3 linked regions of the Canis lupus familiaris genome follow. The protein of the gene in region 1 purifies or fractionates together with the protein of each later gene. This does not show direct contact. Links are inferred from orthologs where the notes say so. Each region holds a gene or a part of one and is shown on either strand. Other genes may lie near its edges.

The links.
Region 2: the proteins of RSRP1 (region 1) and PSME3 purify together in Homo sapiens (affinity purification with mass spectrometry; 3 studies listed by BioGRID and IntAct, counting the BioPlex papers as one, with this or other methods). This does not show direct contact. The link is inferred for Canis lupus familiaris from reciprocal best matches to the Homo sapiens genes RSRP1 and PSME3.
Region 3: the proteins of RSRP1 (region 1) and C1QBP purify together in Homo sapiens (affinity purification with mass spectrometry; 3 studies listed by BioGRID and IntAct, counting the BioPlex papers as one, with this or other methods). This does not show direct contact. The link is inferred for Canis lupus familiaris from reciprocal best matches to the Homo sapiens genes RSRP1 and C1QBP.

What each region holds. Positions count from the first base shown.
Region 1 is NC_049223.1:73,938,060-73,942,144, forward strand, and holds the start of RSRP1 (arginine/serine-rich protein 1), read left to right. Parts: upstream 1-1,244; 5' UTR 1,245-1,467; intron 1,468-1,612; 5' UTR 1,613-1,678; coding exon 1,679-2,213; intron 2,214-3,403; coding exon 3,404-3,555; exon of another isoform or gene 3,556-3,978; intron 3,979-4,085.
Region 2 is NC_049230.1:20,058,216-20,061,871, reverse strand, and holds the end of PSME3 (proteasome activator complex subunit 3), read left to right. Parts: intron 1-56; coding exon 57-124; intron 125-219; coding exon 220-274; intron 275-403; coding exon 404-490; intron 491-1,359; coding exon 1,360-1,440; 3' UTR 1,441-3,129; downstream 3,130-3,656. UniProt on the Homo sapiens protein: Subunit of the 11S REG-gamma (also called PA28-gamma) proteasome regulator, a doughnut-shaped homoheptamer which associates with the proteasome. 11S REG-gamma activates the trypsin-like catalytic subunit of the proteasome but inhibits the chymotrypsin-like and postglutamyl-preferring (PGPH) subunits.
Region 3 is NC_049226.1:31,558,858-31,563,064, forward strand, and holds the start of C1QBP (complement component 1 Q subcomponent-binding protein, mitochondrial), read left to right. Parts: upstream 1-1,351; 5' UTR 1,352-1,435; coding exon 1,436-1,646; intron 1,647-2,206; coding exon 2,207-2,357; intron 2,358-4,207.

The sequences.
Region 1 (4,085 bases):
AAATAAATAAAATCTTAAAAAAAAAAAAAAGACCCAGTTGGAAAGCAGATGCTTAACCGACTAAGCCACCCTTTTAGACTCTCACCACCCCTTCCGTTTTAACCAAAGCTCAAGACTGCATCATGCTATATTCCAACACATCCCGTTTATACTTGTCAAAACTGAAACTCATTTTTTTCTGTCCACTCACACAGCTTTATGAGAAATTCAGCAAAAGTTCCTGGCAGTTGGGCACTGTCTTCTCAGTTTACTTGATACCACTTAGAAAAATGTTTCTAAGGAAATATTTCTTTCCTTAAGAGTGATTTCCATCACGATGCTTGCCTAGAGATGCAGATGATACTGTGACAGTGCCAAGGCAGGTTACATGAGCGGATGCAGATTCTGTGATAAGGTTTTTATTCCCTCCGTTTCTTTGGGGGATGTGGGGTGAAGATAAACACGAGAAAAGTGAATTTGTATCTCCCTCCAAAGAAAGTAAAAGTGCCACTCTTGACTTGCAAAGAACCTCATATAATGACTCTATTTACAGATGTGATTAGTTAATTCAATGAAAAGTTATTTCGAGGCATGTCATGCTTTATTAAGCATTAAGTAATACTTGGAATGTTCTCCTCTTTACAAATCCCCGGAAATAAAAGTCACCATTGTTTAATCCCCAACACCAAGCAGAGTCCTCGGAACTGACTTCTCATTCTGACCCCCTCGTTATGGGTCAACTTTCTTGACCTTTACTGGACAAAATACGGGCGTTAAGCAACCTTTTCGAAGCTAACCCTGCAGTGACGGAGCTCCTGAGACGTCCGCGGGGCGGGGAGGGGCGCCGTCCCCCAGCCTGGGGTTCCCCCTGCGATCGCCCTCTCCCGCCGGACACCAGTCAGGAGGAAGTGGCCTCGAAGGGTGCAGGGAGGCTCAGCCCGAGTCTGCAGCTTCCCAGACGGTGGAAGTTGCACCGTCCCGTCCCTGTTTGCACCGGCCCGGCGGGCGGCCGTGAACCCGGGGTCCCGCCGGGCGAAGGTCCCTCTCACTATCACTTTCAGCAAAGAAAACAGAGCCCCGGGGACCCGGATGCAGCAGCTCCGCACCCCTCCCTCTCCCCGGGACGAATGACGCCTGCGCATCCGGGACTTTGCACACGGCGGGGCGGGGCGGGGCGGGGCGGGGCGGGGCGGGGCGGGGCGGGGCGGGGCGCGGGACGAGAGGAGGAAGAGCGAGCGGCGGTTGGGCGAGAGGGGAGCCACGCCCGCCGCGCCGACGTCTCTGCGCATGCTCTGCGCGTCGGCTTCTGGTACTTTCGACCCGGCTACCGCCGCCCTCACTTCGGGGCTAGAGGTGGAAGGGGGTGGTTGACGCTCCGCTTTTCCAGAGCAGCCTCCGAAACCCTCTCTTCGTCCTCAGCTTCGGAAGGAGGGTGTCCGTGGGTCCTTTCCTTTCGCCTTCGCGGTGAGGCGTCGACGGCCTGTGGCGGTAGGTTTCCGGGTGACGGGGTCGGCCTCTGAGGCGGGGGCGGGCGATGGTGGTGGCGGCGCGGAAAGGAGCGGCGGGCAGGGCGGGCAGTCGGCGTGGGGCCCGCCGGCGCGACTCACTTCCGGCCCCCCTCGCCCCCCGGTAGGTTTTAGGCGCCAGGTTTCCGGGCAGGGATCCTCTGACGGAGGGAAGCTTGCAGCCTCGGGCCGAGATGTCCCACTACGTGAACGACCTGTGGCCCGGCTCGCCTCAGGACGGGGAGTCCCCCTCGACGTCCCGGTCGGGCGAGTCCGGCCGCCTGTCCTCGGCGTCCAGGAGCCGCTCGTCTAGCGGAAGCTCTCGGTCTCGCTCCAGCGGCTCGAGCCGGGCGTCGTCGCGGAGTCGCAGTCGGAGCCGGCCCCGGAGGAGGGGCAGGTCGAGGTCCGGGTCCGTTAGGCGCCACCAGAGGAAGTACAGGCGCTACTCGCGCTCCTACTCGCGCAGCCGGTCGCGCTCCCGCGGCCGCCGGTACCGGGACCGGCGCTACGGCGCGACCGGGAGATACCGCCGGTCGCCGTCCCGGCCGCGCTCCCGGAGCCGGTCCGGCTCGCGGGGACGCTCGTATTACCGACGGGCCTACGCGCTGCCGCAGGGCCGGCGCTACTACGGCTTCGGCCGCACCCTGTACCCGGAGGAACGCGGAAGTTGGAGGGGCAGGTCCCGGAGCCGGTCGCGGAGCCCCACCCCTTTTCGCTTGAGCGAGAAAGGTGAGTCGGCTGCCGCCTCGCCCTTTGACGTGGCTGGCGACGACGCGAGCGCGCGGGGGGACCAACGTTGCCGTGGAGTGTGGCGCTTTCCATTGCTTTTGGTTCCTGTAATTTTACTAGTTTCGTTGGGAGGAAGGAGGGAAGGGACAGATTAAGAGCGGTTAAAAGCGCTCCATTTGGTACCCAGTTTTGTTTTGTTTTACTTTAAAGATTTATTTATTCATGAGAGATCCAGAGAGAGAGAGAGAGGCAGAGACACAGAGGGAGAAGCAGGCTCCATGCAGGGAGCCCGGCGTGGGACTCGATCCCGGAACTCCAGGATCACGCCCTGGGCCAAAGGCAGGCGCTGAATCGCTGAGCCACCCAGGGATCCCCTGGTACCCAGTTTTAAAGTGGACAGTCTTTTCTCCTGGGGATTGGAAGCCGATTGTGGTATACGTCCTTTTTTCCTAGTGGCTGGCCCTTCTCAGTGGAGCCTTTCTAGCTGTTGCTAGTGATTTCAGTAGTCTGTCTTAAGCTTTTAAGAAAAGAGGAGGATCACAGTTTTTTTTCCTCCATACCACGTTACTGGAACTGCTGTATTTTGTTCCAGTGTTTTATTTAGAGATTTATCAGAAAGAGCACCTGGGCAGGGGAGGGGCCAGAGGGAGAAGCAGAGGGCCTCATGCAGGGCTCTAATGCCAGGCACCTGGGAACATGACCTGAGCCACCCAGGCGCCCCAGTTTCAGTATTTTTTTTTTACAAGTGATTTGTTTTACCACTGGATAGGATCATAGAACAGAAAAAGACATGCAAAGGAGTATTTTAGGAGTCTGAAAATAGATTTAGTAATGTGTCTGTATTGGTTAATTAGTTGTGATGTTTGTGCCAAATACAAAATCTTTTACAAGAGGACTTGATGTTCAGAGTACACATTTGAAGAGGAAGGGAAAACAGGAAATTCAGGCCTCTTTGGTAAGGCAAATTGAAAACCAGTTGTTGAGATTCTTTAGGGATGCTTGCTTGTTTTTCTTAGCAAAAAAGATGAGGTGAAGAATTTTTTGTCATCACAGCTATATTTTACCCACTAAAAGAAAATACTTCAATGTCTTTGAATTGTTAGTCTAAATAAAAGAAACTTACTTTGTGATTCACTGTTCTTTGGATAAACGTACTGAAAGATTAATGAATGTTTTGTCTTGTTTTATAGATCGAATGGAGCTGTTAGAAATAGCAAAAGCTAATGCAGCAAAAGCTTTAGGAACAGCCAACTTTGACTTGCCAGCTAGTCTCAGAACTGTTCTTGGATCTAGAGAAACCAACCGTGGAACAGCTGTACCAAACAGTGGTGCAAAGTTTGAGGTAAGTATGGTAGGTTTAGCCAAACAAAATCTTCAGAAAACTACTGTTAGGAAGATCTAATAAGCCATTTTTATTTGATTTATTTTAGAGTGTTTCTTGGAAAGCCTAAATAAAATATGTTAAGATCAAAATAATTCTAGAAAGGGTCTCTCCCCCCATGAAAATGGGAGATTAATGATGTTTATTTTTATGTGACTTAGTAGTAGTTATTTTCATAGTTGTAGGTGATACTTTGGCAATTTCTATGTAGCTATCAAATTTTTCTAAGCAGCCTTTACAGAGTATTTTATCAGTAGTTTTCATTTGCAGCATTATGTTCCCACAAAATCTCTTTTTCAGCATACAGTATAGTTTATCTGCTTTATTTCTGTCTTATAGAAATCATGAATGTGGTCTCCAGACATTGATGAAGAAAATCTGTTGGTAATTGATACATGGGCAAAAGCATCAGAGGTTTAACTAATTTGAAGTTTACATTCACACACTGAAAGTTTAGATTTTTGTTGGTAGAATCATGTGCATGCTAGAAT
Region 2 (3,656 bases), on another chromosome or scaffold:
TTGGCTCTTTGAGTGACATGGAAGTGACTTGACCTCGACCCTTGGGTTTTTTTTAGGAGGAGACAGTTGCAGAACTAAGAACTGTTGAGAGTGAAGCTGCATCTTATCTGGACCAGATTTCTAGGTAGGGCTTCTTGGCGTGGCCCAGGAATTGGGGGCTGGTGACATACCAAGCACTATCCAGGGTCTTCTGCAGCTTCTTCCTCTTTCTCCTTACAGATATTATATTACAAGAGCCAAATTGGTTTCTAAAATAGCTAAATATCCCCATGTGGTAAGTAAGGGTGTGGGGGTCTGAGGGTGGAAGTGGAAGGAGAGGGAGGAGTGGCTGTTACTCTGCAAGAGCTGCCACCTGTGGACAGCCCGGCCTCAGCAACTAGCCTTTCCTCCACCCTCCTTTCAGGAGGACTATCGCCGTACCGTGACAGAAATTGATGAGAAAGAATATATCAGCCTTCGGCTCATCATATCAGAGCTAAGGAATCAATATGTGAGTAACCTTGGTCCCTGCCCATAGTCACCCTGCCTGTTAGTCCTAGGGGTCATGTTCTTTGTCATTTTCTGGGGTTTGAGGTGGGGGATGGAGTAGGATAAAATGAGTAGGATAAATTCTCATTAACTGAGTTGAGAGCTGAGATCATTGAGGGTGCATAGCTGGGGATCTCCCTTTCTGTTTAGATAGCAGGGAGTGTAGTGCAGTATAGGTGTGAAAATGTGAGCATTAGAGTCACAAGGTTTAGGTTCAGAACAAATTCTTCCTGTAATCTGTGGCCTTAGGCAAGATGTTGAACCTCAAATGTCAGTTTCTTCATCTCTAAGATAGAACTTAGAGTATCTATGGCACAAATATGGGGGTTTTTTGTTTTGTTTTTTTACAAAGATGGTTTTTAAAAATGAGTGAAATAGGGGCACCTGGTGGCTCAGTTGGTTAAGCATCCAACTCGTGATTTTGGCTTAGGGCATGATCTCCTGCATAGTGGGATTGAGATTAGTAGGACTGCCCTGTGTTGAGCTCCACGCTCAGCAGGGAGTCTGCTTGAGATTCTCTTTCTCTGCCCCCTGCCCTCACTCACCACTTGCTCTTTTTCCCTCAAATAAATTAATTTTTTTTCCAAAAATGAGTGAAATAACATGTTAAAAGACCCAGTACCATCGTTGATTGTTATTCGACACTTGGGGCCTGGGAAGTATCCAGGAATCCCCAATGTGTGGGTATGTGAGAGACAGCCGCCCTGAATTCAGGTTCCAGTGAGTGGGATTGGGATTTTGCATGTGATTGGTTGGGGACTTGTGGGGGTATCTAGTTTCTTTGGGAGGTCAGATGGAACAAATGTGTGATTCCTTGACCTCTTCTCCCAGGTCACTCTACATGACATGATCCTGAAAAATATCGAGAAGATCAAACGGCCCCGGAGCAGCAATGCAGAGACACTGTACTGAGGCCAGGGCCAGGGCCAGGGGACTCTGTGAGTCTGGCTCAAGACCGACATTGCCTTGGTTTGTTACATGACTATCGTGATGGGGAAACTGGCTGGAAATAGTAATCACACCTCTCTCTGTTTTTAGTTAGAGTCTAATGAAACTCTCATGTAGTTCTGTGACGTGTTTACCTCTTTTTTCAGGCCTCAGGAACTCTTCTATTTCTTTCCCTAATACCCCACACCTGACCTGTCCTAATTTCTGGAGAATTCCAGGTTTGTGTGTGCAGGATATTGGCACAGGAATACTTGTGTTTTCTCTCCTTGCCCTCTCCCTCCTGTGTCTTGAGCTTTGTGTTTTCTTCCTTCTGTTGATTAGTTCATTAGAAGCTGAGGGAACTGGAAGGAAAGTGCTAGGTGTTTTTTAGGAACTGGGGTGGGAGGGGTCCAGCTCCTCTCCTCTGATGTAAGGTTAGTGTCTCTTGCCACTGTGTGGGACATTGGATCCTCTCTCCCACAGTTTTCCTGGTGATAACTTAGGGTTTCCCATCCACATACATCCCACCTTGAACCTGATCATGACAAGAAACACCTTAGGCCTTCTGCCAAGTCCCTAGCTCCTTGAGATGTTTTTATAACCAGGATTTTCACATACACATAGGTGTGTGGTATACACATACGTACAGACATGCACGCACATGCCTTCCTACTCTTAACCTGATTTCCCCATCGCATAGTCTGTGTTGTTGTCCTTTGTCCCCCCAACCCCCTCCCCAAGAACTCTGTCACACACACACATCATTCAGAAGCTGATAGTTGTCTTAGTCCTTACACACTGGGGCCCCTCGTTCTGCTCTTATATACAGGCTCTTGATGCCCAGAGGCTGGTGAGTTGGAGGAGAGCCAAGAGATGAGAAGCAGAGGATCTGGGGAAGGCCCCTTCCTCTGTGACTCCGGTCTTTTGGGGCATCACTGCAAAGGCTGGTCCTCTGGCTCCTGGTTGCCTCTTCTAGGCCAGTTGTAAATTGGCATGGGGCTCCCTGCAGCTCTGAGGGCCAGATGCTGCTGCTTCTGCTGGGCTTTCCTAGGGGAAAAATATTTCTCTTATTTATAGTATTGTGCTTCCAAGGAAAGCAGCACCTGTGTGTCTGTGTGTGTGTATGCACACACGCGTGTACGCTTTGTGTGTATGTGAAAATCTGCCAGGCAAGTCAAAACCGTAGAAGAGTTGCCTCCTATCTCTTGAATCTTCCAGAGAGATCACTTGTTACAGCTTTTCTGTTAACCCTCATCAAACCCCTACTTTTTTATTCTGCCGCTACTGGAGAGTTAGTATTGCAGTCAGCCTGCCAGCGACTCTCTCCATGTCTGTTTCTGACTCTTATTCTTCCCCTTGCCTTCATCCCCAATCATATTTCCACCCAGATGCATCATTTTTACTCCCAGTATGCTGTAAAGGAGTCAGAATGCTGTCTTCCCATGAATAGTACTCAGTAACAAACCAATTGCATTTTAGTTGGGCAGTGCCCCTACCCACCCTCCAGATCCCTTCCAGCTAAAACCCTACCCTTTTCCCACTATGTGTTTCTCAGTTTCCCTTTTTGTTTTTTGGATTATTCTGCTGCCCCTCCTCCTTACTCTACCACCCTTGGATCGTAATGTAAAATTCTTTTACCATGTCAAGAAATTATTAAAAACGCAGGTACTTTGACCTCTTTCTAAAGCTGCAGACCCTGGTGCGATGCTCTGGTGGCTAGGGACATGCCCACACTCAAGTGCGTGTGCACGGGGACACCCACCTCCACATACACTTCCAGCCACCCTATTGGGCTGCCTCTTTTCTCTAAAATAATGGAAAGACTGAGGCTTCTGCCTACCAAGAGGCAGGGGTGGTTCCTTTACTTGTGTTCAGTCTGAATTATGTGAAAGTTAGCCCTTACAAACCTAAGCTGCTTCTGTCTAACCTCCCAAGATACCCAGTTCCTTGCTGTCTCCCTGGTGATACCCATGAACTGCCAGTAGAGGCTGCTCTAGTTCCGCGTGTGGGAGATCACCTGGTTCAAGGCAACAGCCTACCCGGTCATTTTCTTGACCTTATACTAATTCTCCCTGCTGATTAGTGTCTTAAATTTCTTGAGGAGATACCAGGGTTTCCTGCTTTTGGTTTTCCAATGACTTGGAGGGCTGTCTAGGATTCTAGCTCTCTCTGAAATAAAGTTTCCTCAACTTCCACCTTGC
Region 3 (4,207 bases), on another chromosome or scaffold:
AGTTTGACAACAGCCAGGCCTCAGGTTTCCAGAGTCTTCTTCAGTGTATGAAAATCCTCTTAAAAAAAATTTTTTTTAAAAGATTTTATTTATTCATGAGAGACAGAGACACAGAGGGAGAAGCAGACTCCCTGCGGGGAGCCCTATGTAAGACTCAATCCAAGGACCCCAGGATCACACCCTGAGCCACAGGCAGACACTCAACCACTGAGCCACCCAGGTGCCCCTATCCTCTTAAATCTTCCCTAACCCTTACTTCCCCAAGCCCTGGAGTGGCTGCATGCCTTCTGCCCCAGGCTCCTGGCCCTGGGCTAAATGAAACCACCACTTAGCTCCAAGATGCCCAGGACCCAACCAAACCACACGGAGACATTCCAAATAACTCCACCAGAGACGACCCCAGGGGCAGCCCCACACAGGAAACTAAAGGATTTGCAGCAAAGGAGGAGGAAGGAAATAACTTCCAAAGCCGTGACTGTCAAGCAGAGGCGAGCAGGTTATTAAGGGTGAGGGATGAATATCCAGGGAGAGCAGCTGTGTTCCCTGCGCAGGGGCGTCCATCAGGTTGCTCAGGTACAAGGTTGAAAACACCTTTACCTGCGCCCTGTCAGGGCAATGAGGCCCCTGCTCCCCCCGGGGGAGACCTTAACCTTGTGAGGGTGGGGCCAGGGGAAGGGGCGATTAGCGCCTCCCCCCCCCCTCCCCCGGGCCACGGGCTGGGGTCTTGGGCTCATCTCCGATGGGAACACCCGCCTTGCTCTTGGACCAGCCCTGGGACTTGTACCGCGAGGTTGAAGTCTGGGATGCGGTTCGGCCGCCCACGTAGTTCTGCATTCCCTTTTATTCCTTAAAATCCGTAACGACTAAGGCTTTTGCATCTGCGATTCTGACACCGCCTTAGGAGGTTCTTCGAGGAGCTGCTAGGAGTAGGGTGTGGGTGCCAAGAACAGCTGGAGGCCCCAAGTGACCTCTCCGGGGCCTTAAGAGCTCTCTTTTTCTGGGCCCCTCCCTCCTCCTCCCAGCTTCCTGGTCCCAGAACAATGCAAAGTCTTGGGAACTGGGTGCACGCTGGTGGGGGGGAGGGGCACACGCTGGGGGCCGTGTGTGTGCGCGTGCCGGGGCTGTGCATGCTGGGGAGGTGCACACAGGTGGTGTGCACGCCGGGGTGGTGTCCACGCTTGGTAAGGGTGGCGGGAATTCAGAGGGCCGGCCCCGGAGCGGAGCTACCCTCGGGGCTCGGGGTCCCGCGGGGAGACCCGGCGCCGGCGGCCCCGCTGACCTCGGCGGCCCCAGCAGAGGGCGCTGCCAGCCCGACGCCCCGGGCCGGCACTGCACAGGCGCGGAAGCGCTCCCGGGGAGGAGCGGGACTTCCGGCGGCGCGCGAGCCGGGATCCGGGCCTGGTTCGTCCTTCGCGCCCGCACGTGCGTTGCCGCGATGCTACCGCTGCTGCGCCGAGTGCCCCGCGCCCTGGGCTCGGCGGTCGCCGGGCTCCGCGCCGCCCCCGCCCTGCCGCCTCCGACCCTGCTGCGGCCCGCGCCCCGGCCGTGCGTGCGGCCCTTCGGGCTCCTCCCTGTGCGCGCGGGCCTCCTGCGCTCCCGCGGGCCCTGCGGCTGCGGCTGCGGCTGCGGCGGGCTGCACACCCAGGGTGAGGCTGGGGCGCGGCGGGGGCGGTGGTCCGGGGAGCCGCGGCCAGGGGGGCGGGGGCCCAAGGCCCCAAACTCACGACCCCCTGCAGTGGACGACTCCAGGTTAATCCCACGTGGCTTGAGGTTTCCTGCCTTAATCCCGAGAGTGGTGGCTCCCTGGCTGGCGGTGATGCTTCTAAACCCCGGCAGCCGGCTCTATCCTGAGCCTCGGAGGTGGATTCGGGGAGGCGGCTGGTCAGAGTTAAAAGCAGGGGAGGTCGTGTGTGGTCTGGGGCGGGTAACGGGAATCGCCTGGCTTCGCTGTGAAATGCGGTGATGGGCTCGTTGCTGGAAGTCATTTTTCCAGAATTGAGCTCAGCCTCCTGCCACGGGTGTCCAGCCCGTTTCCAGGTTGGGAACCGAGGCCCCGTGGGTCTGACTCCGTGCCCAGAGCCTCCGTAACAGCACAAGCATCAGAATCGGTCGAGGCCAGGTTTCCCACAGCAATCACCCCAAGTCGTTTGTTGGTTTAAGACTGACTGGTTTTTCTTTTTCTGTATCTTATGGGTTTTCATTGCAGGGGACAAAGCTTTCGTCGAGTTCCTGAATGATGAGATTAAGGAGGAAAAGAAAATACAGAAGCACAAGTCCCTCCCCAAAATGTCTGGGGGCTGGGAGCTAGACATGAATGGGACGGAGGCCAAGTTAGTGCGGAAAGTAGCTGGAGAAAAGTAAGTGTGGGCTGCAGGGGGTCCCTCTGACCCGGCGCAGCCTCCCCGATCTTCCAGGGATGCCTTAGAGCAGGTCCCCGGACACATGATTTCCAGGTGCCTCATTCACTGCACGCAGATTGGCTGAGCGTGGATTTATTAAGGAAGGAAGGATGTCCTGGTAAGGAAGGCCCTGCCTGACCCAGGCACGCATATCAGAAAGTCTTCTTAAGATTTCATTTACTATTATTATAATTTTTTAAGATTTTATTTATGCATGAGAGACATAGAGAGAGGCAGAGACACAGGCAGAGGGAGAAGCAGCCTCCATGCAGGGAGCCCAACATGGGACTTGATCCCAGGTCCCCAGGATCCCCTCCGGCTGAAGGTGGCGCTAAACTGCTGAGCCACCAGGGCTGCCCTATTTTTGAGAGAGAGAGCACGCACATGGGCAGAGGGAGAAGCAGGCTCTCCTCCTGAGCAGGGTGCCCTATGGGAGCTGGAGCTCGACCCCAGGACCCTGGGATCACCACCAGAGCCAACCCCAGACCCTTCACCAACCAAGCCACAGAGGTGCCCCCGACTGAGATTTGTGCAGTTCTGACGGATTGGGTGCCGCCTCTGCAGTGCAGGGTTCTGGCCGAGGGAAACCCGGCCCTCCCCCTGACATTTGACGTTTACAGTGGGGAGAACCAGCCTGTGGCCCCCATGTGCGTGGATGAAGCCACATGTGCTTAGTGTCCCCGTTAGAAAGGTACAGAACTTTCCATTTGCTTCACCTCTTCACCATCCCTTTTTTGAGTAAAGTTCTGAGATGTTGTGAACTGGGATCTGATTCTTTCTTTGCCTTTATTTGCCATGTTTTTTTTTCCTGCATAACTTCCCCTAAACCATTTTCTGAGGGTAACGTGTAGCCAGTGGAGTAAATATAATGTTCTAGTGAATAGAGCGGCACCTCTGTGCCCAGGTGCTCAGTGTGGTCAGCACCGCGGCACATTAGATAGGTTTTGTAGCTGAATGTGACACCAGCATCCCTGTACGGGAGCAACTCCAAGCACACCGGCAGGGGGGTCCCGAGTACACCCACGGAGTGGGGGAGCTGGCACCTACCTGCGCTGGGCACTCAGACTCGGAGCACAATTTGTCAGGGGAGGGTTCTGTAGCGGAAGACTGTCATGAGGTGGGTGTTTCCAGGCTGCTTCCTCACGATATGGAACTTCCCACAAGTATTTTAAAGAATGGATTTAGGGGGGGCGGGGGCTCAGTGGTTGAGCATCTGTCTTTGGCTCAGGTCGTGATCTCAGGGTCCTGGGATCGAGTTCCAGGTCGGGCTTTCTACTCAGCAGGGTATCTGCTTCTCCCTCTGCCCCTCCCACTGTTCGTGCTCTCTCAAATAAATATATTTTTAAAAACAGCTCTGGCAGCTGTGTTGACGGGGAGCCCCCTCCCCGGGGCCTATCCTGGCCCTCTCATAGCAGCACCCTTGTGTGCCTCTCTTCCCCTGTCCCTCTGGGCAGATCTCATGGAGTAAAGTTCTTACGAGAGGCTACCTGCTGTCCCAGCACCCTCTGCTGCTCACTGCCACCGAATGGCTGGTGGCCAGGAGCCCTGGGTTGGCAGGGTGGGGGGGCAGTTAGTAACCCACTGCGTCTGCACGTGGCGGAGACAAGGAGATAAAGTGGGGCCTGTGGGTTTATTTTTTATTTTTTTTTTAAGATTTTATTTATTTATTCATGAGAATACACAGAGAGGAGAGAGAGAAGCAGAGACACAGGCAGAGGGAGAAGCAGGCTCCATGCAGGGAGCCCAATGTGGGACTCGATCCCAGGTCTCCAGGATCACACCCAGGGCTGCAGACAGCACCAAACCAC